Xenopus tropicalis: one gene and its partners. The main gene of each other region encodes a partner of the protein of the gene in region 3 in a complex. Links are inferred from orthologs where the notes say so. Each region holds a gene or a part of one and is shown on either strand. Other genes may lie near its edges.

Region 1 (8,564 bases), on a different chromosome or scaffold from region 3:
TTACAATAGGTTTACATTAGTTATTAGAGATTAGTTGTCCATGATAGAGTTTTGCTACCATGGCTGACTAATATCTCTTAAATCACCTTCCATCAACAACAAGGCAATCGCTGCTTTGTTTCCCTGAAGTTGCGCAGTTTCCTTCTGCAGGCACCAAAGCGATACATAGGCCTTTCCACTGGCCATTCCCTTTGTTGCTAGTGGAAAGGCAATTCAGGAGACGTTAGTCACCAACGGTAGCAGATCTATTACATGCAACTAATCTCTGGGAGGGACATCAGCCTAAATTTCAGACTGCTTTCTACTCTATATAGTGCCCTTGAATAACAAGCTACTTGGCAGTTTTAGGAGTGGGAAAGTATCACATTTTAAGTCACTGGTAGGAAAGAAATTAAGCAGTGGCCATTGGCCAAAACTTGATACATTATCTATTATGCAGAAACCTGTTATCCAGGTTTCTACATAAGATTGCCACACAGGGCAAGAAAAACCACCCCGCTGCTCCACTTTATGATCTGCTCTCAGACACTGCATCAGCCTGGGTGCAGCAGCAAAGTGGTTTTTGTGTCTGCACCCCGGTCAACACAATGTCTGTGGGCAGTCATACCATAGTGCTGTGGGCACGTGGCAGAGATTCAAAGCGGATTACAGCACTGAAGTTTATACTTGCCCATTTCAGTGCCTAATTCCACTCTGTGCCTGCATGTGGGCCGACAGTGGCTTCAGGTGCGGGTTAGAAAGTAGGAGCCCAACAGATCAAGTATAGACAAGCTTCTAGCCATAACGTTGCTTGAGAAATACCAGCAACAAACCCAGGTAAAAGCAGTTATGGGCACTGCAAGGTCATTAAAACATGTAAGGTGAACTTAGCCTTTAGCAGTGTTTTGCAGACTTTAGGTTGGATCTCGCTGTACCTCTAATGTGTAGCAGTAATGCACCGAGACCCAGGAATTAAACAGAACAATAGGACTTAGTGCCGAGTAAAAGCAAACAAAACTGCTTGAATAGATTATTCTTTATTTATATAACATACAAAGTCCTGTACAGATAGATAAGAAAATAGTCATGAGAAGTAATGTATTGAACAGCACGTGGCAATCAGAAATATTCTGGAAGTTTACAAGGTTTGTCTGCAGAACAAGCAAGTGATATTAAGAGTCAAAACAAGGATTAGGTGGTCACCTCCAGATGCCACTCCCCTCCGACCTCATCGGCAGACAGATGGAAGGAATGGAGCAAGGGGGTATTTGAGGTAACTGGGATTTCAGAGGCACTAAGCTGGCGCTGGTAGCGGAATGGCTGTAAAAAGGAGCGCCCCACATCCTTATGAGTGACCCCAACCCACTGGGTACATTGAGAAGCTGGAACCTGTGGATTTGAAGGTTGGTCTCGGTCAGAGCTACTTGTAAACCTCAAGTCAGAGACAGAAACATCCAGAGTTGGAGTGTTCTCCTCTAAAGCAGAGTTGATCTCAGAGAGCTCCCATATTGGTGGTACAGAAGGCTTCTGCACCCCAACAGCCTGGACCACCATCTCTGAATCTTGCAGTTTAGGTACTTGGATGTCCACGCATATTGCATCAGTGGCCTCTTCCTTATAGGGTGTTGACACTTTTGCACCATAGAATACCCCAACAATAGAGTTACTTAGTGGTTCTGGGGCTAAAGCAGACAGTTCAAACACCTGACCGTCAGGTGGTGGGAATGGAGACCTGCTGAGGCAGGGCACGATTTCCTCAACAGTCATTCGCTGCTTCTCTCCACCTACAAGAGGGCTAGACTCCGAAACCTTAAGCAGGAATGGTGACCCACCGGGCTTGGGACGGGTTCTTTGATCCAACAGTTCAATCCCCGAGGAACAAGGAGAAGAGCTACTCTGAGCTGTGGCCACAAATCCCAAGTCCATGATCTCGGTCAATGTGAGGTTGGAGCTGGACATAAGGAAACTGATACCACTGCTGTCCCAGCTGATAGACATCTTTTAGGCTTCTCTCAAACCTATCAATTAAGAAAAAGCAGTAGGATATTAGATACCATATTTTATTTTTGAAACCAAGAATTAGAGGAAACCCATGCTTAAGTAACTTATGATAGGGGAGCACACATGAACATATTTGGTACAGCAGGTATCCATTTGGGCACAAGCCACAACCCTGAGGGCATTAAGAGACTGTCCTACGATCTATCATTTATCTTGGCACCTCAGTGGGGTCATAGCAGATGTGCGAATGGCCAAAGCTCTCACTTAATTGTTCATTCATACTAAAAAGACATAGCACTCTGTAAAGCCACTCTTATATCTAATGAGTAGCAATCAAGGGCAAACTAACAATAGCAGGAAAGCCAAGTCTAATAGATTAGGTCTGGAGAGTTATTGTAATATTTATTACGGATAGTAGGCTGGGATAACAGTTGGAAGCCAGAAGGAACCAGGCTCCAGTAATCCCACTATTATACACCTCTAAAAAGGACATATGATTAAGAGATTTGTATATAAGCACTCCCTGTAGGGCTTTGCCAACTATCCCACAGCATTCAATTAGTTAGAATTGGCTTAGGGCAGTTAGGATAACAACACACAATACTCCCAAGTGTGAAAAATCACTGCAGGTGTAGCAGGTTGTTACTATTCTTTAAATGGGAAATGTTGCAAGGGATGCCTGTTGTAGGGTTGCAGAACAGGGAATGTGAGTAAGTCTATGTTGTTGTAGTAGTTTTACTATTGGGAAGTCACAGGCCAGTCCAGGCGCAGACTGGTAATTTGTAGATCCAGACAAATGTGGGGCTGCTGTAAGATGCCATAAGGGGGCTGTTTGGGTCTCTATGTACTTGGAACATATTTTGTATCCCAGTCCTGGTCCCCTCAAACAGCATATTGCTTGATGAAAGTCAAATATTCCAACATGTATTTTTGCCTCCAACATATTAAACAAAGAACAACAAAGTTTACCCAAAACAGACAAAGGAAAACATATAAAACATCTCAGCTTCCAAAGCCATTTGTGCATACAACAGCCAACTGGCATTCAAATGAATGGCAAGCATCTCAGCACCTATCTATGTCTCTGTTAATCACCTGGCCAACAAAATGGTTAAATTACTAAACATGCCAGCACCTTCACACAGCAACACAATATGGGTTTGTACTAAGCCCTAGTAACAATTACGCGACACACCACCAACTTGATTCCCTTTGTGCAGCCACTTACCTTCCCTGATAGATTTCCTCTAAATGATTTATTCTGGCTTCCAGGCAAGTAGCCTTTTATATAGTGTTTTAGGAGGTTAAGTAGCCAATCAATCTCGCCTTGTGACCCCACCCATTATCCAATTATCCCATTCCTCACTTGTAGTTGTTAGGCCAGACCAGCTCATAGGGATGCTGGATACTGAGGAATGTGAGAGCCATGTTTCAAGGGAATGTTAACTGTTACATTAAATTTGTATTTGTTATAGAGACATCCCTGCTGTACCCCCATAACGTCTTCCTAACCTAACACCTCTCCATTTATCTTCACTGTCTACTTTATAACCTTCCTCCATCTCAGTTATGGTTTCCCCCAGTCTTCTCTCTCATATAGAAGTTCCATTTTGCTCCCCCTGTTCCCAGTTGCAGAGGGTGGAAGGGAAAGTGATATAATTTCTGCCTTTACTGAGGGTTCTTTCCACTACTGGGCAGTCACTCCTAAGCCATGCTGCTCAGACTGGGTTCAGGAGAGGTTATATTTGAGCACATACCCCACCCCCCCTCAGCAATACCACTTGTAGCCAGCCAATGGCAGTCCTGTAGAAGTACCTAATAAACATTTCAGGTTTTTTTTGTTTTATTTATATTTCCATTCTATTTTTTTTCCAGCCTGCAATTGCTTAGTTGTCAAGGTTACCTAGGTAACTGAAAAACAGACTGACTGTGAAGGTTCCATTTCATTATTATTATTATACTTCTATGTTTGTTGCTAGGGAACTCCCATTCTAGTAACCAGGCAGCAGTTCAAATTTAATGTTCAAAAACCTATACACTCATAGCAAATCTGAGGTGGTGATGTCAGCGTAAACCCCACTTAAAATGCATGGCTTAACGCTACCGTCGCCAAAACTAAGAGGAAATGACTGTCTAGTCTGGAAATTTTTAGAATCCTCTGTCACTCGGGTTGTTACAAAACGTAATAGGCGCCAGAAGCTGTCCCTCATTTCTAGCTTTGATTGGTCGCCGGGAAATCGCTGACATCAGTGCGCTTGCTGTTCATTGGTTAAAACCGGACGCATGGCCCTCCCCACATATAGAAGTGACAGGCACCTAGAGCGCCTCCGTATGGGCTGTAGGCCCCGCCCAGGGAGTGGGTTCCGCCCCGGAAAGGGAGTTCTGTGGGTGCGTGCGCAGCTGGCGGGAGATAGGAAATAACAATACCGCCACAGACTGCGCACTGAAGTGTCCGGAGCGGCAGGATGTCCCGGCGGGCCCGCGGGTGAGCCTGGCACTAACGGGTGGGGCAGTGGGGCTGCACATACGGGCACAGCTACTACTTTAGAACCCGGCGGCCTTTTCTTACTACTTTTGAGTAGGTGCCAGTCACTGGGCGTCTGCTTTGCGCTTTCAGTTCTGCGCCTCCTCCCTGCCCTGTGTTATCGCCCTTACCCTGGCCTTGCCTCTGCCCTGGCCTTGCCTCTGCCCTGGCCTTGCCTCTGCCCTGGCCTTGCCTCTGCCCTGGCACCTGCCCTGGCCTTGCCCCTGCCCTGGCCTCTGCCCTGGCCTTGCCTCTGCCCTGGCCTTGCCTCTGCCCTGGCCTTGCCTCTGCCCTGGCCTTGCCTCTGCCCTGGCCTTGCCTCTGCCCTGGCCTTGCCGGGCTCTCACCTATTGGCCTTCTCTGGATTTACTAACTTCCCCCATTCTGGACTTTCCTGTCTAGTTGGGCTTCTCTGTCGGTTCCACATGCCTAAACTATAGCTAAACTATTCTACTGCTTCTCTCTCCACAGCTGGGCTCTTTGCTCTCTCCCCAGTCTCCCCTTCCCTCTACCCCCCAGCTCTCTCCCCAGTCTGCCCTTCCCTCTACCCCCCAGCTCTCTCCCCAGTCTCCCCTTCCCTCTACCCCCTCAGCTCTCTCCCCAGTCTGCCCTTCCCTCTACCCCCCAGCTCTCTCCCCAGTCTGCCCTTCCCTCTACCCCCCAGCTCTCTCCCCAGTCTGCCCTTCCCTCTACCCCCCAGCTCTCTCCCCAGTCTGCCCTTCCCTCTACCCCCCAGCTCTCTCCCCGGTCTCCCCTTCCCTGTACCCCCTCAGCTCTTTCCCCGGTCTCCCCTTCCCTGTACCCCCTCAGCTCTTTCCCCGGTCTCCCCTTCCCTCTACCCCCTCAGCTCTCTCCCCAGTCTGCCCTTCCCTCTACCCCCCAGCTCTCTCCCCAGTCTGCCCTTCCCTGTACTCCCCCAGCTGCCCATCACTGTCACCCCTCACCTCTCTCCCCAGCTGCCCATCACTGTTGCCCCCTCAGCTCTCTCCCCAGCTAGTATTGCCAACCCTTGTTTTTGTCTATTATCTTTCTAGCCTTCTCTTTACTTCCCTTGTTCTGTCTCCCCATAAGGACTTTCCATGTCCACCCCGAGTGGGCTTCCGTGCATTGCCCCATTGTCCGCTCTCCCCCACCCCCATTTGCACTTTCCTATGAAGCTTCCACTGTCCTCCCTCTGAGAGTTTTCCTTTGGCTTTCCATACACTTCAGGGCATGCATATCTGCCCTACTACCCCATATTTCTCTCCCTGTGCTTCCCACATTTCCCAGTACTTCTCAGACCTTCAGTAATGCTATGTTTGTGCACAGCTGGCCCCCAACGACCCCTTTTGTTTTGGCTTTTGTCTTATTGCGCCAGGAGGTTAACTTGTGACTCTCCAGCTGGGTTTGTCCCTGCTCTCTCAGTGCTCCATTCCAGCTGAGCGCCACGTTCTGCAGCCTCCCTGTGCTTGTTTGCCTGTCTCTGCTCCTCATTTATAACCCTTCTTAAAGAGAAAGAAGTTTTTGTCGGCCATATTTCCTTAGATTCTTAGTAATTTCTTTCTTGTATATCTAGGAACACTACACTTTTTGTGTAAAGGTGCCTCAGGATGTCATGCTGATTACAACTCCCTCCCCCACCTTCACACTTCTCCCCTTTGCAACCCACCTACATTGACTGCATTTACAGAAATATAATGCACTTATCAGACGCTTAAGTAAAACCCAAGGATGACTTCCCTAGTGCACAGTTTTCTCTTTTTTTTTTTTTTTTTTTTTTGTTCATGTTTCTGCCTGTAACCTTGTGTTCTGTCCCAGCTATGTGCCACATGTAGGATCCTTTGCTTTCCCAAGCTGAATTCCACCCCACCCCCCTTTCTAGTTGACCCAGCCCCTATGTGATATCTCCAAAAGCAAGCTGGAGAGGGGTTGCTGGAAAGTTCGACCTTCGCATTTGGAGTAGTGGCCACCCTCATGGCACCCTGGTTTTTTTTTTTTTTTTTTTTAATCCTTGTTTTGCTAGATTAACAGACACCCTATTCCCTGGGTGCTTTGAGTAATGCTGCCTCTTTCCATATGCTGAACCTGTGCTTATTTCTGGGACACTGTTGCATGTTGACTAAATACTAATAATAATTTTTTCTTTAACCCATACAGAGATGATCTTGAGGATTTGCAATATCAGGACACAGACTCTGATGTCCCGGAGCCAAAGGAAAGCAGGGTCAAAGTGAAGTGGACCCCAGAAGAGGTACAGTATGCAATTAGATGTATTGCTAGAGCAATACAATCCAGAGTCCTTATCTCTTGCCTAGGGCTGGATGAGAACCCTTCTGTCCCTCCAGTGCTGGTCTTTGGACTTCTTACTGTGACTGACATCTCTGTCATCCTCTGGGGGTCTTATATGTTGGTGATACTATTTACATAAAATAGTACAGGGATGTCACTCCCCAGTATTAGGTCATGCGTAAAAATTGCTCCCGTCCGTGTTTCCCCCAGTAAGGTATTAATTATTGTTTCCATTTTGTTCTGTTTCATTAGGATGAGACGCTAAAAGCCTTGGTGAAGAAGCATGGACAGAGTGAATGGAAGGTGATTGCCAGTAACCTTACTGTAAGTTCCATCATCCCTTCAGTGTAAATCTTACATTTCACCATGCTTTATAAGTCTTATAGAAACGCAGCTTAGTGAGCAAGTGCAATTTTCCTATTTGGTTTTTATCCGCAATGCAGCTTTTTGCTGGAATCCCTACACAACTGTAACAGCGCTGGGAGTTGTAGCCACTGCATTTGTCCCAACATGACAAAGCTAAAGCAATTGCGCATATAAAAATCAAGTGCAAGTCATGGGAACTGCATCGGTTCTGGCACTGGGCATTAAAGCAGCATCAGCTTGTGATTCTTTTGGTGCACGACTGCATTAGGGCTGACATCTAGGCAAAAATGTGTGAAATGTCAGTTGGTGTCTTCAACATACACCAATAGGATAAAAACCTCATATAAAGTAGGTCTTCTGCTGTTAAAGTATATCTGATTTGCTGGCCCTGGGCAGATGTTACCTTTGGCCTACAATGGTTTTATGGCTGTTTTGATCAGGGGACACTTTCTGAACTGATGACGAGCTAGTCTATGTACACTTAAAACTCCCTATTTCTTGTTAACATTTATTTCCATTACTACCCCCTTTTATACATCTTAATTCCATATTAGGGTATATGCTGGTTATGCCTTTCCCCATAAGGGAAAATAGAACCCAGAAATCTTATGGCTTAATGGAGAGGTGTTTATGCCCTTTCAGCGCTGTTAGACATCGGATGGCACTACTTGGTGTGAGCAAAGGTTTAGTACAATAAGCACTGTCTTTTTGTTCCTTAGTCTTAATGTTTTAGTAAGGTGTTTACATTTTTGTTTTTCCTCCAGAATCGTACTGAACAACAATGTCAGCACCGCTGGCTTCGTGTTCTTCATCCTGACTTGGTTAAGGGTCCATGGACAAAAGAGGAAGATGAGAAGGTATGAAGTGAGGTATCTGAATAGGGGAATACATATTATTATTGGTGTGGCAGCCCTGATAAACTACAATTCTTTTGTAGTCTTTGGAGGGATGCTGTGAGCTCAACATCCTTGTGGCTTACGTTGAACTTTGTCTACCTCTGATAATTCTTTCTAGGTGATAGAATTAGTGAAGAAGTATGGCACCAAACACTGGACCCTGATTGCTAAGCAGCTCAAAGGCCGCATGGGCAAACAGTGCCGCGAACGATGGCACAATCACCTCAATCCAGAAGTGAAAAAGTCCTCATGGACAGAGGAAGAGGACAGAATTATATGCCAAGCCCATAAAGTATTGGGAAATCGCTGGGCTGAAATAGCAAAGCTGCTTCCTGGGAGGTAAGAGAAACCCACCTTTGCCTGTTAAACTCCTCTTTACTTCAACTGTTCAGGCTGTCTAAACAGTGCAAACGTGGCCATACTATGCATAGCATCTTATACAGCAGGGATCCCCAACCTTTCTTACTCGTGAGCCAAGTCAAATGTAAAAAGACTTGGGAAGCAACACAAGCATCAAAAGTTCATGGAGG
Region 2 (8,612 bases), on a different chromosome or scaffold from region 3:
ATTAAAGTGCGGAAGCACAAAGAAACCCTTTAATGTTAGTACCTTTAATAAATGGAATTATTTAAGCAACTGATTGCGTGGAAACTATTTTAACATATATAAATGAGTCTCCCTATGCTGCTTGTTCTGGTAATGCTATGCATACAAGGCATCACACTTTTAAGAAGACCAATATCATTCATATTTAGGATGTTTTATCTTATAGTACCATATGATTTGGGAGGTAAGGTGATTTAAAATGCGAGACTTCTCGTGATTTCAAAGATAGGGAAAAAATGGCAAACTTTAGCAAAACTATTAAATTACCGGATAACAATCAGTCATTGGGCTTGTGGAATAGGGAGCAGAGTTCGGGGACAATGTGGTTGGCATGGTCAGGCCGAATCAGGGGTTTCACCATGTGTGCCTGGGGCATTGATTTAAGCCTCATTCTACTTGTCAGGGTGCCCAGTTGAATGGTGAAATAAAAATGGGGGCCCCCTGGGGGGGAGGGCCCTAATAACATGGTAGTATGGGGCCTCAACTGCTAGTTGATCCAGAGGAAGGCAAAAAAAAAAACACCTGAAGCCTCTCTAATTTGGAAAAAATTCTTCCTGACTCCAAGATGGCAATCCGACCAGTCCCTGGATCAACTTGGATCTCCCGTAACCCTGTATTCCCTCAATTGCTAAAAAGTCATCCAAACCCCTTCTTGAAGCTATCTAATGCATCAGCCAGTACAACTGGTTCAGGGAGAGAATATTCCACAGCTTTACAGCTCTCACAGTAAAAAATCCTTTAAACACAAAAATGTAATGTGAACATAAGTGAACAGCCTCTTTAAAATTTTTCAATACCTGACATTCTTGCTGTCCAGAGTTTAATAGTAAGACTGCGGCATATGTGCCTTAAGCCTATGTGAGTCTGCATTCTTGATTAAATTTATGCTGAATAAGCTTTGTGCACATATGCTGTTTGCAGATTTTAATGTAACTGATGATGTGTCAGAGGAAAAATGGCCACCAGGTGAAAGCTGCTATTAGTTTTAGGAAAACAAGATGGTGTTGGCAAACAGAGGGGATATATGTAGCACAAATTATGCCATTTTGGTGGGGGAGACATGTCCAACTGATATACATTGTAGGAAAATGTAGGCTTTACCTACACGCTTATCCTTTAAGCATCACTTCTCCAATGTAAACAACTCAAACTTGACCAGTGATGACCTTACATCTACCGAGTTTAAATCTCATCTGCCACTTAGTTGCCCAGGTTGCTAGTTTGTCAAGATCCTGTTGCACATCCCGAATAGAATTGATTGGGCTGCAGAGTTATGTGTCATTTGCAAACACTGATACATTACTTATAACACCAATTAATGAACAAGTTAAACAAATATTGGACCCAGTACAGAACCCTGAGGGACCCCACTAAGAACCTTACTCCAAGTAGAGAATGGACCATTAACAACCACCCTCTGTCCCCAATCCTGTAGCCATGTGCAAGCAACTTCACTAAGACCAACGGACCTTAGTTTAGAAAGCAGTCGTTTGTGTGGCACGGAATCAAATGTTTTGGCAAAATCCAAACCTCATCATAAAAAGCAATCAAATTGGTCTAACATAACCTGTCCTTCATAAAGCCATGCTTTCCAGAACATAATTTTGCCAGGGATGTCAAACTTACTGGCCTATAATTGCCAGGCTGAGGTTGCAATCCCTTTTTAAATTTAGGTATCAGCTTTCCTCCAATCCATAGGTACCATACCAGATGACAGCAAGTCTGAGAATATCAGAAACAGAGGCCATTATAAAACTGAACCTAGCTCTCTCAGAACCCAAGGGTGTATTCCATCTGGCCCTGGTGCCTTGTTCACATTAATTTTGAGTAACCCTTTATGTACCATATCCTGTGTTAACCACTGACTAGATTGAGCTCAGGCAACACTGAAATTATTGGGTGGGTCTTGGCACTCTGGCCGCTCTATTGTATATACTGAAGAAAAGTATATACAATAGAGCAGCGTTTTTCAACCGCTGTTCCGCGGCACACTAGTGTGCCGCGAGATGTTGCCTGGTGTGCCGTAGGCAGGGCCGCAATTTTTACTTTCCCCTTTAATAAAATCCGGGCCCTGTCATTGGTTGCGCCCCGTGTGTACGGGTGACGTCAGTACGCACGGAGCGCAACGTTATAAAAGGGCCTGTGTGCGGTCGCGTGTAGGCAGAAGTGCAGAGGCGGCGCGCGTGAGGGGAAGATGCTGCTGAGGCCGCCGAAGAGCAGAAGTAAAATGCTGCTGGGCACCAATGTATTAGGGGGGGCCACGGGGCACACTGACTTATGGGGGCACTGCTACTGGGCACCAATGTACTAGGGGGGCTGGCTCTTGGCACCAATGTACTGGGGGGCACTGCTGCTGGGCACCAATGTACTAGGGGGGCACTGCTCTTGGCACCAATGTACTAGGGGGGCACTGCTGCTGGGCACCAGTGTACTAGGGGGGCACTGCTGCTGGGCACAGAGTTACATTTTTTAACATTTTCTAATGGTGGTGTGCCTCGTGATTTTTTTCATGAAACAAGTGTGCCTTTGCCCAAAAAAGGTTGAAAAACACTGCAATAGAGTTCTGTTTTAACCTTATTGTTACTATAAGTCAATGGGACCACACTCTCATCCCGCATGCGCTCCTCATTTTCTATCTTTGCCTTCTGGATTGCTGTTTTACAACACTTGCTATAGTGTTTATATTCAAGAAATGCAGCTTCTGTCCCCTCAGACTTAAGACAGATTTTAACATTTACTTCTAATGGTAATAAATTGTGAACAGTAATGATTATATGTTCATTATAGATAAACATGAGTGATCTGAAGTAAAGAATGATTGAATCCTGGTTAGTCCACCCAGCTTGGTTTGCCAGATCCCATTTGTTGTTCAATACATTTCTAAAACTCTTGGTTATTATTATGCAGTTGTTCTTCCATTTGCTGCTTTCAAGTCTCCACTCATCTGAAAAGTCTTTCAAAGGCAACTTCGGGAAATCAAAGTGACGTGTATGCCATCCCACTAGAGATTTACATTCTTGCCTGTGACATGGAATTTTGGGGAGATTAGTCGCCCGCAATAGTAAAGATTTATCACAGGTGACTAATCTCTCCCAGTTTTCCATTACTCTAATGAGTTGCATTTACACACGCATGCGTCAAAAGCAGATGACCGCGTCATAGAAAGTGACACCCGTGTGAAAGGAAGTGACGTACGGAAAATTTTACTATTTTTTTTACTGTAAAATTTTGACTGCGCTGCAAATTTTTTCGCCCATCCCTAATAGGCAACCATAAAGGTGAAGACACACAGAGCTACTTAGTAGCGGCTACTAAACACCAGAAAATACCCTGCCATAGACAATACTGAGAATTGCCTCTGCTAAGGGCTCTGGCACACGGGGGAGATTAGTCGCCCGCGACAAAACTCCCTGTTCGCGGGCGACTAATCTCCCCGAGTTGCCCTGACCCGCCATCCCGCCGGCGAACATGTAAGTCGCCGGCGGGATGGCACACGCGGCAGCGCGATTTCCCAAAATCGCCGAAAAAGACTCGCGAGTCAAATGAAAAACCCAAATGAAAAAGTAGCTGCTACTAGTAGCTCAGTGTGTCTGGCACACGAGGAGATTTGTCGCCTGCGTTTTTTCCCCCCGCGCTTTGGCGACAAGTTGCAAAGACAATACACACGAAGAGATTTCATGCGAGTTGAGCTCCAGGCGATCTGCTACCCATGGTACCACTCAACAGTTACCCCTCCCACATGTTTACTCAAGTCATTCAGAAAAGGGTCTGTGTGCGATTTGAAACAGCAGGTGACTTGAAGTAGCCTCATATGTTTTGACGCTGGTGATTTCCATTGGTTTAGCATTGGCGTCTTGTCGCCAAATCTCTCTTTTAAAAATCGCCGGCGACAAATCTCCTGGTGTGCCAGAGCCCATAACCCCAAAGAATGAGGAATGACAGAAGAATGACAAATGAGAACTCCAATGTTCTTACATTTTTACCAATCCAAAATAAGTTAAGAGCAAAACGACGCTTTTTAACTAGCATTTTATACTTTATTTAAATATTATCATCGATGTTCGCATTCCTTCTCCTTTACCAAGAAGCTTTTCTGATTGCCTACTCTGCTTCCGCTAGTTACCTTAATTTCTGGTGTCCCCGGCTCTAAAATGCATTTAAAAACATATTTTCTGCATCTTGTGTGCATCCCTGTCGACTAACCGCAACATTCTCTCAGGCCTTCTGCGCTTGTTCTGAACACTCCAGACACGCTCCCTCTACACTGGTACAGCCTCTTCCCGGCATGCTTTGCGAAGCAACGGCCGCTCAACAGCAGTTTGAGCAGGTGACCGGAGGCTCCGCCCACAGGCTCGCTGTTCCATCATGGCGGATCCCGCTCATCTCCCGGTCACACCAAGCCGGCACGAAAAAAGCCTTGGGCTACTCACCAGCAAGTTCGTTTCTCTTTTGCAAGAGGCAGAGGACGGGGTTTTGGACCTCAAGGCGGTATATACATGAGCTCTAGGTTTCTTATAAACACATAATTAAATGTATATGCACGTCCACATGTGCACTCTATTAATTATATTGAGATATCTGGATCTCTCGTGTTTGTTTGTAAATGTGTCGATGTTTCGCACGTTTATACCATATAAATGGGCTGCTATGTTTGCATATGGATTCTATACCAGTATGCCTGTAGCTGAGACATATTGGGTGAATTGTTCAGTGAGGGTTTTGCTAGGTTACGTGCACGATATGTGTAGAACTTGCAGAGTGTCAGTGCTTGATAACTGAGGGCTTGCCCTTCTGAAGATCAGTCAATTTGCGGTTTTCATCGTACGATAATGTATCTCCTGCACATGCCTGCATTGCAACAGTGTGGTAGCCTACTTTCTAAGCTGTTATAGATGCACAGTGTCTATTGCTGGTTTTGTACAGAGGGTTCCTCGACCCCAAAAACTATTTTTGCTTAAGGAAAGAAACCTACTTTTAAGCAAATGTCCAATCATAAACTATTTAAAACGCATTTGTTATGTAACTGCTATTGACCGCAGTACCTCTGTTTACATTCTCTGCACTTTTGTCTCTTTATTCCTCTGACAATGTTGCAAGTCAACTGATAAAAGCTGGTCGATACAATGGAGACCTGACTCCTATTGCATTAAGTCAGACCTAGAGAACAGAAAGGAATAAACTTTTTACTACAATTACACTAATACCTAATTACAAAACTTTTTTTTAAAACAATTAAACCTTGGAACTTATGTACATTAGAAAGTTGCTTTATTACATTTTCTTTTACTGTGCAAAAACTGCTTGTTGGTTTGTAGAACCACTATAATGCCAAGTGATTACACCCATTTAGTAACAGGAAAAGACAAATGTATGCCCCCCCCCCCCTTCCCTTGTAAAACTACATTTCCCAGTACCGACCACTATCTGAGCTGTTGCCATGATTGTGTGAGCATACCTAAACAGCATATCCATTGTGGTATAGTGTATCTTTAGATATGTTTCTGTTTGTAGTCCATTTCACCCTGTCATGTTACTTTTACAAGACACAAGCAATTGATGAGTCATGTTAAGGAAAGCAAGACCTTAACAGAAGCACTTCCTGTCTACCTAACATTAATACATGCTGTTTGGTGTAGCAGTAAAGTCATTTTTGTCCAAACTGGTTTCTGCAGAATTAGAGAAAATTCATTTCTACGGTACTTTCCAATATGCATTAATTGCAACGGTTCAGTGGTTTTTAAGTTATGTGTAAATGTAATTGTGATTGAAAACAGTATTTATGACTAGTTTCTTCTATATTAATTCAAGTGTCAGAGCCACTAGTGCAGAGACCTCTATACAGCCAGATACTGCTTTCAGTAACTTTTAATATTTAAAATGTGTTTATCTGAAAGTTGCTTAGAGCTGGATTTAATTTATGTGTAGCATATATGCTAGCATGTCTTGCTTGCTAATGTACATATGTGTAATTATTTAAAGGGGAGCTCCACTCAAACACAACATAACCATTTTTAAAAGTAAAAATAATTTTAAGTAACTTTGCAATATGCATCAGTTAAAAATATGCAGCTTTTAATGATTTTTTTTTTATGTAACAATATGATTTGGAACATGTTCTCCTGCTGATCTGGCCGACTACTTTGAAAAAAAAAAACTGAAACAGTAGTCGACTGTCCTCAGCCTGCCTTCAGCCTGCATCATCAAAATCCCACAATTCCCTGTACACATGATATCAGTAAGGAAAGGAACATCACTATGCGATGCATTAGGGGTTATATAGTTTCTTCATTCTGTCTGTAAGCTGTGGAGAAGTTGTAACAATTTGTAACATCAGTGTTTTAGTCCCTCCTCTCCTGCCATTTAAGATGCGAACAGGGAAGAACTGTTTTGGAGCTGGATTTCAGCTTATAAAAATAGTATTTATTACTACAGTAATAGGTATATTAGGGATTTCTGTGTTGTGTATGGTTGGTAGCCAGAGTTCCCCTTGAAAGTGTAATGCTTTTAAATTTGATAAGTTAGGGCCAACTAGAACTGTTGATTAATTTTGCTCTACCTGATTATTTTTGCATTACGTCTTTGTATGTAGTTAAAGCTCTTTATCCCAATGCGACAAGCTTATACTTATGTGTTAGTAGTTTTGAAAATTAACTGTACACAATATTTGCTGAGAATGCCAGTTGTGTCTGTATTAGAGCAAATTGATACTTTAATTTCTTATTGTGGCAGAATTTCTTAATATATTTCTCTGAGGACTTGCATTAGATCTTCAATTTCTACAATTGTAGAAGCAACTTTTACTTTAAATGTGAACATGGAGAAAATATGTTTCCTGACTCCTACATTTTCTGTTTTAAAGGACAAGTCAGCCCAAAATATATTTTTTTGCCTAACAAAAGAAAACATAATTCTAATTCTAACTTTGCAATATTCATTCATTACAAATTTGTAATGTTTTTGACTTATTTGTGTATATATAATTACTATTAAAAGCAGTGTTTGTTTGTCCTTTTGTATTATCTGCCCTGGTGGCTCTGACTCTTGAAACAATGTAACACAAACCAACAGATTGACAGACCTGCCTTGCTGGAGGAGACTGACTTTTGCAACATTGTTTAAAAAGTAACAACTAGGAGTTCATCAAATGCTGCTTTCAATAGCAATTACATTTACAAATAACTTTTAAAGCACTCAAAATTTTCAATAAATTCACTTTGGAAAGTTGCTTGGTATTATGTTTTCTTTTATTAGGCAAACAATTATTTTTGGGGTTGACCTTAAAGGATAAAGAAAGGCAAAAACTAAGTAAGCTTTATCAGAAAGATCTATGTAAATACAGCCATAAACACTCACAGAAATGCTGCAAAAAGAGTTCTCTGTCAAAAGATTTGTTGTCTGTCTTCCTCTGCCAGAGACACTCGGCTCTCTCCTCTCCCCTGCCCCCCCCCCCCCCTTCCTTAAGAATGCTAAGAACTCACCCCCTCTCTTAGGAATGTGCACTTAAAGGAACAGTAACACCAAAAAATGAGTTTTTTAAAGTAATTAAAATATAATGTACTGTTGCCCTGCACTGGTAAAAGCTGTGTGTTTGCTACAGTAATACTACTATAGTTTATATAATAAGCTGCTGTGTAGCCATGGGGGCAGCCATTAAAGTTGGAAAAAAGGAGAAAAGGCACAGGTTACAAAGCAGATAACGGATCACCTCTCTAGAATACAATAGCGTTTATCTGTTATCTCCTATGTGCCTGTGCCTTTTCTCCTTTGAATGGCTGCCCCCTTGCTAAACAGCAGCTTTGTTTATATAAATTTCTGAGCCAAACACACCAGTTGTACCAGTGCAGGGCAGCAGTATATTTTATACACTTTAATTTGTTGGTGTTACTGTTCCTTTAACCACCACTTAATCCATCACTTAAAGGATATGTAGACCCCACACACACAAATTTTAATCAGTGAACAGCCTCTTTGAATTCTTTCAATACCTGCCACTCTCGTTGTCCAGAGGTTAATAGTAAGGCTGCAACATCTCCTTAATCACTTAGATTTCCTTCTCCTCCTGTAACCCACTCGCTCCCCTCCATAGGGAATTTGCTTTCGCTGTTGGCTCCTGGGCATGCTCAGTTCTAAGCTCAGATTACTAAACACATCCTCCAGTCTAACAGCCAGTAAAGAGATGGCATTGCTGGTTCCCATAGAAACTCAGCTCTAGCTGTCTGCTTCAGTTTTTTTCTCCTAACCTCCTCTCCTGAGCTCAGCTCAAACAAAGCAGAACTTTTATCATAGACCGTTCTGCCTGTGTGAGCCTGCATTCTTTATGAAATGTATGCTGAATAAGGGTCTGTGTGTGTGTGTGTATGCTGTTTGTCGATTTAAATGTATCTGATTATGTATCAGAGGAAAAATGGCCACCGGGTAAAGCTGCTATTTGCTTTAGGAAAATGTAATGGTGCTTGAAGACAGAGGGGATATATATGCAGTACAAATGATGCCATTTGGGTGGGGGAGACATGCCCAACTGATATACATTGTAGGTAAATGTAGGCTTTACATGTCCTTTAATCTATATAGGT
Region 3 (7,851 bases):
GAAATGAGGCTTTGGAGAGCCTAAGCAACTGAAGCAAATGACTTGTAAGGCTAAATTCCCCATACTCTGAATAATGAATTAAGGTATCTTTGTTGGATACAAACTGCTCCCTTTGAGACAGAATAGCCCAACATACATTTGGTTTTCCATCTTCTCTCTCCAAGAGAAACCTTCCAGTGTTTAGCACGTGTAACATTAAGGGTTACAGACAGTTATGTGGTTCTTCTCTCCCGATTTCCCCCCCAATCATTGCAGCAATCACACAATAGCAGCAGTCTCTGATCACAGATAGCAGGACACCCTCCTATGTTACTGGCAATGGGTAAAGCTCTCAGTGGATCCTCCCTGGCAGGACTCTGTGTATTCACTGATGCAGGCCTTGGTGGGACCGACCAGTTTCATAATGGAAAGAAAAATCACAGTCACTTTTTTTTGATCCAAAAGAATCAAGTCTGAAAAACTTCCTTTCTTCAACAAAATAAAAAAAGAATAAACAATTAATACGGGGACATCCAATCTGAAGAGACACCATCTTGTTGATTGAAGGGTTTGGAGTTTTTGTTCACTACAATATAAATCTGATTGGTTGAGAAATTCGAGGACAGCACTTTATTCTATTCCTCCCGCTGGGATGGAAGATCCGACAGCATTGGCATAATGACCCCTACACGCACAATCGCGTCTGTCTGCTTTCCTACTCCATGGAGGATGAGTCGTCTTCATCATCTTCATCGTCGTCAAACCAGCAGGGGGTCTCCCCTCGTGACTCTGTGTAGTGTGACGTTCCTGAGCTGGAATGGTGACTGCTGGTGGTTAGGGACACCTCTGAGTCAAAGTACAAGCCCGAAGTTAAGCTGTAGATGAAAGGGGAGGGGGGAGAGGCGGAATGGAAGCAAAATAAGTGGAAAAAGGAAATAAAGAACAAGAAGTCATTAATAAGTAATAGTACCTGGTATAAACTCATTGGGTGTGAGTCTTTGCTTTAATCGAATAGCTTACAATTTGTTTAAAGGGGAAGTCAAACAAAATTAAAGGACAAGCAAGACCATAAATAAAAAATGGTGAATTTGACTTGACAAATGCTTTAATCCTAATACAAATTCATGGATGTAAGAAAGGCCATACACCTGAGTGGAAAAGCAGCACTGGGAGTTACTGTACCTTGCCTGGGAGTTTGTGGTGATGCCAGCTGGGTTCACTGCAGAAAGAGCAGTCTGTGAATTAAAACTCTGATCTGCCCATGAGCTTCCTGTAGCCATTTCTAAGGGAACAGAAAATAAGACTTTAGCACACATAGAGGAATCATGGATAGAAATTAAGATGTCTGATGTTTTAAAGGAAAAGTAACACTAAAGTGAAGCCAGATTAAAAGAAAAGTAACACTAAAATGTTTTAAGTGAAAAAGCTATTCTACCCTGCACCAATAACTGCCCTATCCTGCAAACCACTTAGTATTTTGAATGCTTTAAAAGAAAATACCTGTTAAAACTTGGCTTCCTGTCAATTGAACGGAGGCAATACGGCGAAGGAAGGAGCAGCATCCACTATGTGACGATCGAGTCTAGCCTGACTCCTTCCTATACAGAAGGAAGGCTAGGCTCAATCAATCGATCCTCGCATAGTTGATGCCTGCTCCTTCCTTCGCGGTATCGCCTCCGTTCAATTGACAGGAAGCCAAGTTTTAACAGGTATTTTCTTTTAAAGCATTCAAAATACTAAGGGGTTTGCAGGATAGGGCAATTATTGGTGCAGGGTAGAATAGCTTTTTCACTTAAAAAATTTTAGTGTTACTTTTCTTTTAATCTGGCTTCACTTGCCCTCTATCCTGGTGTCGCCTCTTCCACTCCTCCTCCCGCCATATTAGATTTACCAATCTCTCAAGAGGTGTATCTCTGTAACTTTTCCTCCCTAACAAAATGCTCATGTCTCCCAAGTTTTTTCCACAAATACCCAGTGTCTAATAGTCCTTCACAGACCACCTCTCTACATGGCTCCTCATTTTCCTTCTCTTTACATCCACTCTCTCATTGTTATCTATATTCACTGGCCTTCATCTCTCCCCTCCATTGTTCCTCATTTTCTATCTCCTCAATGTTTCTCACTGTTCTTCTCTCATTAGGCATGGACAGAGACCTAAACAGCCCCCCATCATACAGCACTGCCAGTCCGGGCCTGCCTTTTTCTACTGCCCATAACTACACTCTCCCCAAACCACCCACTGTTTCCCACTGCCATCCTTCTCATACTCCTGACCACTGAGCCCCCTTTTGCTTCAACAACCCTTCTCTTTTCCTTCATTGCCCTACTTTCTTTGTTCCCTGCCCCTTACTGCCCTCCTCCTCTCTCCATCCATTGCTCCTCACTGCTCTTCCTCTCCATCCACTACTCTCCTCTCCCATGTCGGGGTCACTTATTGTCCCACTGGTTTATTAACTACTCTGGCTTTCGTGACAAACTGCTTTATAGTTGTATAATTGTCACGTTTTCAGTGGTTGCCAAGCCCTACCCCAGAGAATCAGGGTTTGTGTGAAGGATTCTGTTCACAAAAACGTCCTGTTATTTTGCTCACTATCCCATTAAAAACTGCTGTGCGTGCCCCCAGCCATATAACTGCAACCAATGTTATTAGTAAATCAAAGCAAATGGAGTCCAAATCTACAGAATGCGAAAGTATACAACTGCAATATTAGGGACAGTACAAGAGCGACTGAAGGTTAACCTGGAGCAGAGTGCCTTTCTTCCAGCGCGGCACTAGTTACTGAGGCTTTCAACTTGATAGTAGAATATGCAGGAAACTTGAATGGGATTTCCCTCCTATTTAGAGAGACTGTTCTTGGCAGTCGACAGGAAAATCCTTTCAGTAACAAGAAGTGTCACCAAGGAGGGAATGAATAGCTGGGCCTGTGTTTTATATGCACAATGAGTCCGCTGCTGGCACAGTCCTGCTTTGCAGACAATATCTTGGCCCACAGATTCCCCCGCCTTTCGTCTACTTTGCATTCTGCGCAAGTGTCCCCAAAACCTGCCCTTGTGCACACTTGTCCAGCCAGCAGCCCATAAAACAACAAAGTGTCGTACAGTAAAAGGCGTGAAACATTTCCTCAGCTCTTATATACTGAATACTGTCTCTACCCAAGTTTGATTCTAGAGCAGCATTACTAACCAACTAGGCATCCAGTGCTAGCTATAGGCCTGGGCAGAGAAGTGCAATAACCCTGGGTTCCGTATCTCTGAGGAACTGAGCCTTACACCAGGTCCCAAAGAGCCCCCAAGTAAACAGAGGCCCAAACAGCCCCCCGCTAGCCCAATAAATAGTGACTGTCTATGGCATCTTACAGCAGCCCCTCTGGCATTTGCCAGAATCCAAAGATTGCCAGTCCCGGGGCTGCCTTACACTGATGTTCAGACTTTTACTGCTAGTCTGGTTTAGTGGAGGCAGATTTCAGGACCCCACGGTTGTAAGAATACATGTCTGGTGCTTGACATTACTTTTAGCAGTGTTTAAACTTCAATCAAATCCTCAAATGAGCTTTGTGAGTCTGTTTTGATATTCACAGCGATTGGGCACATCCAAACTCTTCATACTATAGCCATATTGTGTCCTCTTTACATCCAAACAGGCTTAGTGATCTTCTACAGCGATCTTCTACAGTAGTATATACTATGAAGAGAGGCTGGATGATAGTTTAAAATGGTCTGCAGTGTATTAAAGGAACAGTAACATCAAAAAATGAAACTGTTTTAAAGTAATTAAAATATAATGTGCTGTTGCTCTGCAAAAAACTGGTGTTTTAGCTACAGAAAAGCTACTATATAAATAAGCTGCTGTGTAGCCATGGGGGCAGCCATTCAAGCTGGAAAAAAGGAGAAAAGGCACAGGTTACATAGCAGATAACTAGTAGATAAGCCCCTTATAATGGGGGTTTATCTGTTATCTGCTAAGTAACCTGTGCCTTTTCTCCTTTGAATGGCTGCCCCCATGGCTACACAGCAGCTAACTTATATAAACTATTGTAGTCTTTCTGAGGCAAACACACCAGTTGTAGCAATGCAGGGCAACAGTACATTATATTGTTATTACTTTTATACACTTTCATTTTTTGGTGTTACTGTGCCTTTAAAAGGGATGCTTGGGACAAGCAGCTTTCTTATTCTAAATATATCAGTGTTTGTTACACATTGAGCCGTAGCTTAATTTAATAATCAAATATTCCCTTCCCTCTAAAATTAATGGGAAGCCCATGGGTTAGACTGCATAGGGAACTATCACCCAAAAACACAGCAGTATGACCAGAGGAGCTTCCAACTCACATCAATGGGAAGTAACTTGTATAAGGAAGTTTTGGTTTTCACTGCCAACTGCTGCAAAACTGCAGTTGAGTTATTTGGTATGCCTTAGTAAGGCTGAGGGAAGACCATGGCAATTAAACCATCCTTCCCTGATGACAGGCCGCTTCTTCTATTTGCTACTTATAACAGGTGAGGATCTATTGGGAATGCTCCCTTTGTGTTCCTGAGTGATCCCCATAATAAAGGGCCAGTATTTATCACAGGCAGCATGTTTACCTTTCATGACTGCCATGGATTTTCCTGCAGTTATCAACGCATCCCATCTCTCTCAATCTCAAACATTAATGAATCCGTTAATGTCTGCAGTGATGAAACAGTTGGCTTTAGGTAAGAACCTGGACCAATGTGGCCAGAAAGGGTGATGGCAAATTTAGGCCAGCTCTGGCCAAAGTCTCGTCCAGCTAGACACAGCCAAGATTTATCCTGCCTGATGCCGTTAAATTGTAAACTAATCCCCTTGTCATAAACATCTGTCACTGACTCCCTGGAGGCTGTATTTAGGATTATATTATTGTGCAGATTAAAAATCTGAATAATCTGGGAAATGCCAGAGAGGCTGCTGTAAACCTTATTTAGGCCTGTAAGGGCCTTAGCGGAAATGGTATGGCCTATTTCATCAAGTCCATATCTGGAAGGTTACCTGTTTATTAAGGATTGAGTGTATTTGGTTAGCTGACTACCTGTGACGTATCCTTCCAGGGCTCTGGGCACAAAGGATTTAGCGAGCCGCAGGTTCTCTGATGTGCACTTTCCAGACTCAAGCCCAAATGACATTCCCATTCTTTTCAAGACTTCAATGTCATCGTGAATTTCAAAGGCATTGTCAAAATTAAAAAGGTATTCAAACCTGCAGGAGAGATGTAGAATAAAGGTTATCTACCATCACTGGCTCATATCCTACTGTCAGGATTTCTCCTACTATTTTAAGTTTTCTGTAATGGGAAGGTCCAGGCCTTAATGTCCCACTGTGCCACTCACTTGTCACTGGATATGCTGCAGTCAATGACAGTCCTTTTGCTGGTGTTCACAATGATAAAGGGTAATTTTATGGTGGAATTTCCAGCAGGGAGGCAACGGCTTTGCTGCTCGTTCTGTTTATTCCTCTGAACAAGGTGCTTAAAGGCAATTTGCTGGGAGGGGGGGAAAAAAAAAAATTAGCAAGCACAATAGTAATGCATTGTCCTGCTCAGTAATCACCAGCAGGGTGCAGAGTAGAGTAAATGTTTGCAATTTACTCTCTAATTTACAGTCTTATTCTATCATGCGCTCCCTGGGACAAGAGACAAGATGGCAGCACTAAACAGAACAGTACCACAGGTCACTTAGTTTTTCAGCAAAGGGGAAAGCCAGCCTGGGGTCGCAGGTTAATGTTTACTATCCCTGGGGTTGCCTAAACACTGGCAACCCCCCTCCCAGACAACCAAGCAGTTGTAAATAAAATGAAGTGTGTGCACACTATCTGCTGAGCCTGAAGAAGCTGCTTGGAAAGCCAGATTTATCACTTCTAGATATTGGTTTATTTTGCTCAATTAACATGATAGAAATACATTTAGGATTATTTCTTAGGGTAGCAGGTCCCCTTTAAAGGTGGCCATACATTATAAGATTTGCTCGTTTGGTAAGATCAATCAGCCAATGTGGTCCCCAGAGCTAATCCTATTAAAAAAAAAATTTAAACCAGCCGCTCGACACTTAAGGTGGCCATACACGCACCGATATTATCGTACGAAACCTCGTTTCGTACGATAATCGGTGCGTGTATGGCATGTCGGCGAGTCGACCGATATCGCAGGAAGCTGCCGATATCGGACGACTCGCCGATCGGACAAGTTTGAAAATTTTGATCGGGCGCCATAGAAGGCGCCTGACCAAAATTCTCCCTTCAGAGCTGAATCGGCAGAAGGAGGTAGAAATCCTATTGTTTCTACCTCCTTACCTGCCGATTCAGCCCTGAATGGTGTGTGGCGGATCTTACGATGTTTCGTGCGACCGATGGTCGTACGAAACATCGTCGGATCGCCACGTGTATGGCCACCTTTAGTCGATTTTCGGCCAGATACCAATCAGGAAGGCCTGTCGGGGGTCCCCATTCACATGCAGATAGGCTGCCAAATCAGCATCGTTAATCTGCCCATGTACGGCCACTTTTAGGCCGTAGACTGCCCTATAGGAAAAGTTAAGTGAAGCAACATTGGTATCCAGAATAATCATGCAGATTATAAAACCTTCCAATGCAAAAGAGAAGTTTAAAAGCCAAAGACAGAAGGCCACATCCATAAATCTGAAAACAACTGTATCTGTACTTGAAAGTGAGGAGCAGAGATTCAGTAATACAAGGGATTCCTCCATGTGCCATGAGAAAATTATTTCCTGGCCCTTGTAATTTTATCTACTCTCCCCCCCACCCCCCCATGTCTGAAACCTAAAATTCATTCAAAGTAATTTAACTAAGCAGGAGTAATGAAAGGGATACAGCAAGATCAATGAGTCTCTTCTCAATGACATCCCATTGTAGATACCACTAAGGGAAGAAGAGGCCTTAGGCAGGGGCCAGGCAGAAGAATGCCAGAATAAAGCCTCCAAATGATCATTTTCTGGATTTGCTTGCGGTTGCAGCTTTGATGGCTAAGTGTCAGCTGATATATTGGCTGGTAAACACCACAGGGCAAGCGTACTGGTGAGGGAATGCCAAAGCACCATTATCTACATAGTTAGTTAGGTTGAAAAAAGACACACGTTCATCAAGTTCAACCTTCATGCCTATATATACGGTAACCTGCTTAACTGCTAGTTGATCCAGAGGCAGGCAAAACCCCCCACCTGAAGCCTCTCTAACTTGACGCAGAGGGGAAAAAATTCCTTCCTGATTCCAAGATGGCAATCAAACCTGTCCCTGTATCAACTTGTAATAAAGCTATTGCCCATAACCCTGTATTCCCTCATTTGCTAAACAGCCATCCAACCTTTACTTTCAGGGAGTTTGTGAAACTGTTACAAGGAAGTGGATGGGGAATGGCAGATATTTCAGTATATTTTTCACTTAACCTTGAGCCTCTGGGAGCTGCTGCCGCTTACCAAGGACCAGGCATATGCGCCACAGCTAGATTTCTGCTTTATATCTGATTGATGAAACAAAGCATCCCATTGTCCAGGAGCTCACTCTCTTCACCCTTACAAATTCCAGCATTCATTGTCTGTAGTGGTGGCCCTGTGACCGCCTGTTCACATGATCTACGTTTAAACTATGGGCAAGCAAACCACACACAGGAGGCCCAGTGTTGAAATGTTTGAGATAATGAGAGGATCTTTGTGCTAAGCATGGAAATAAGAAACAGAACATAGGAATGTTTACAGACCCCATGCACAGGAGAGGATTGCTCAGAAAGAATAAACGAGTTTATGCTTTATAGATTGACTCATGGTAGGGATGCTTTTCAGGAGGTTAAAGTGACACTGGGATACGCAGGGAAATACCACCAACCTAATCCTCATTAATAATGA

What was found.
Region 1: tfdp2 (region 3) and mybl2 share a complex: the UniProt entries of both Homo sapiens proteins name them as parts of the DREAM complex. The link is inferred for Xenopus tropicalis from reciprocal best matches to the Homo sapiens genes TFDP2 and MYBL2.
Region 2: tfdp2 (region 3) and e2f4 share a complex: the UniProt entries of both Homo sapiens proteins name them as parts of the DRTF1/E2F transcription factor complex. The link is inferred for Xenopus tropicalis from reciprocal best matches to the Homo sapiens genes TFDP2 and E2F4.

The regions. Positions count from the first base shown.
Region 1 is NC_030686.2:39,921,388-39,929,951, forward strand, and holds the start of mybl2 (myb-related protein B), read left to right. Parts: upstream 1-4,304; 5' UTR 4,305-4,445; coding exon 4,446-4,465; intron 4,466-6,640; coding exon 6,641-6,734; intron 6,735-7,024; coding exon 7,025-7,096; intron 7,097-7,902; coding exon 7,903-7,995; intron 7,996-8,152; coding exon 8,153-8,373; intron 8,374-8,564. Other genes in the region: uncharacterized protein LOC733539, read right to left, coding at 1,171-1,977. UniProt on the Homo sapiens protein: Transcription factor involved in the regulation of cell survival, proliferation, and differentiation. Transactivates the expression of the CLU gene.
Region 2 is NC_030680.2:76,530,541-76,539,152, reverse strand, and holds the start of e2f4 (transcription factor E2F4), read left to right. Parts: upstream 1-4,352; 5' UTR 4,353-4,404; coding exon 4,405-4,527; intron 4,528-8,612. UniProt on the Homo sapiens protein: Transcription activator that binds DNA cooperatively with DP proteins through the E2 recognition site, 5'-TTTC[CG]CGC-3' found in the promoter region of a number of genes whose products are involved in cell cycle regulation or in DNA replication.
Region 3 is NC_030681.2:129,527,695-129,535,545, forward strand, and holds part of tfdp2 (transcription factor Dp-2), read right to left. Parts: intron 5,481-7,851; coding exon 5,329-5,480; intron 5,198-5,328; coding exon 5,031-5,197; intron 1,262-5,030; coding exon 1,162-1,261; intron 855-1,161; coding exon 695-854; 3' UTR 1-694. UniProt on the Homo sapiens protein: Can stimulate E2F-dependent transcription.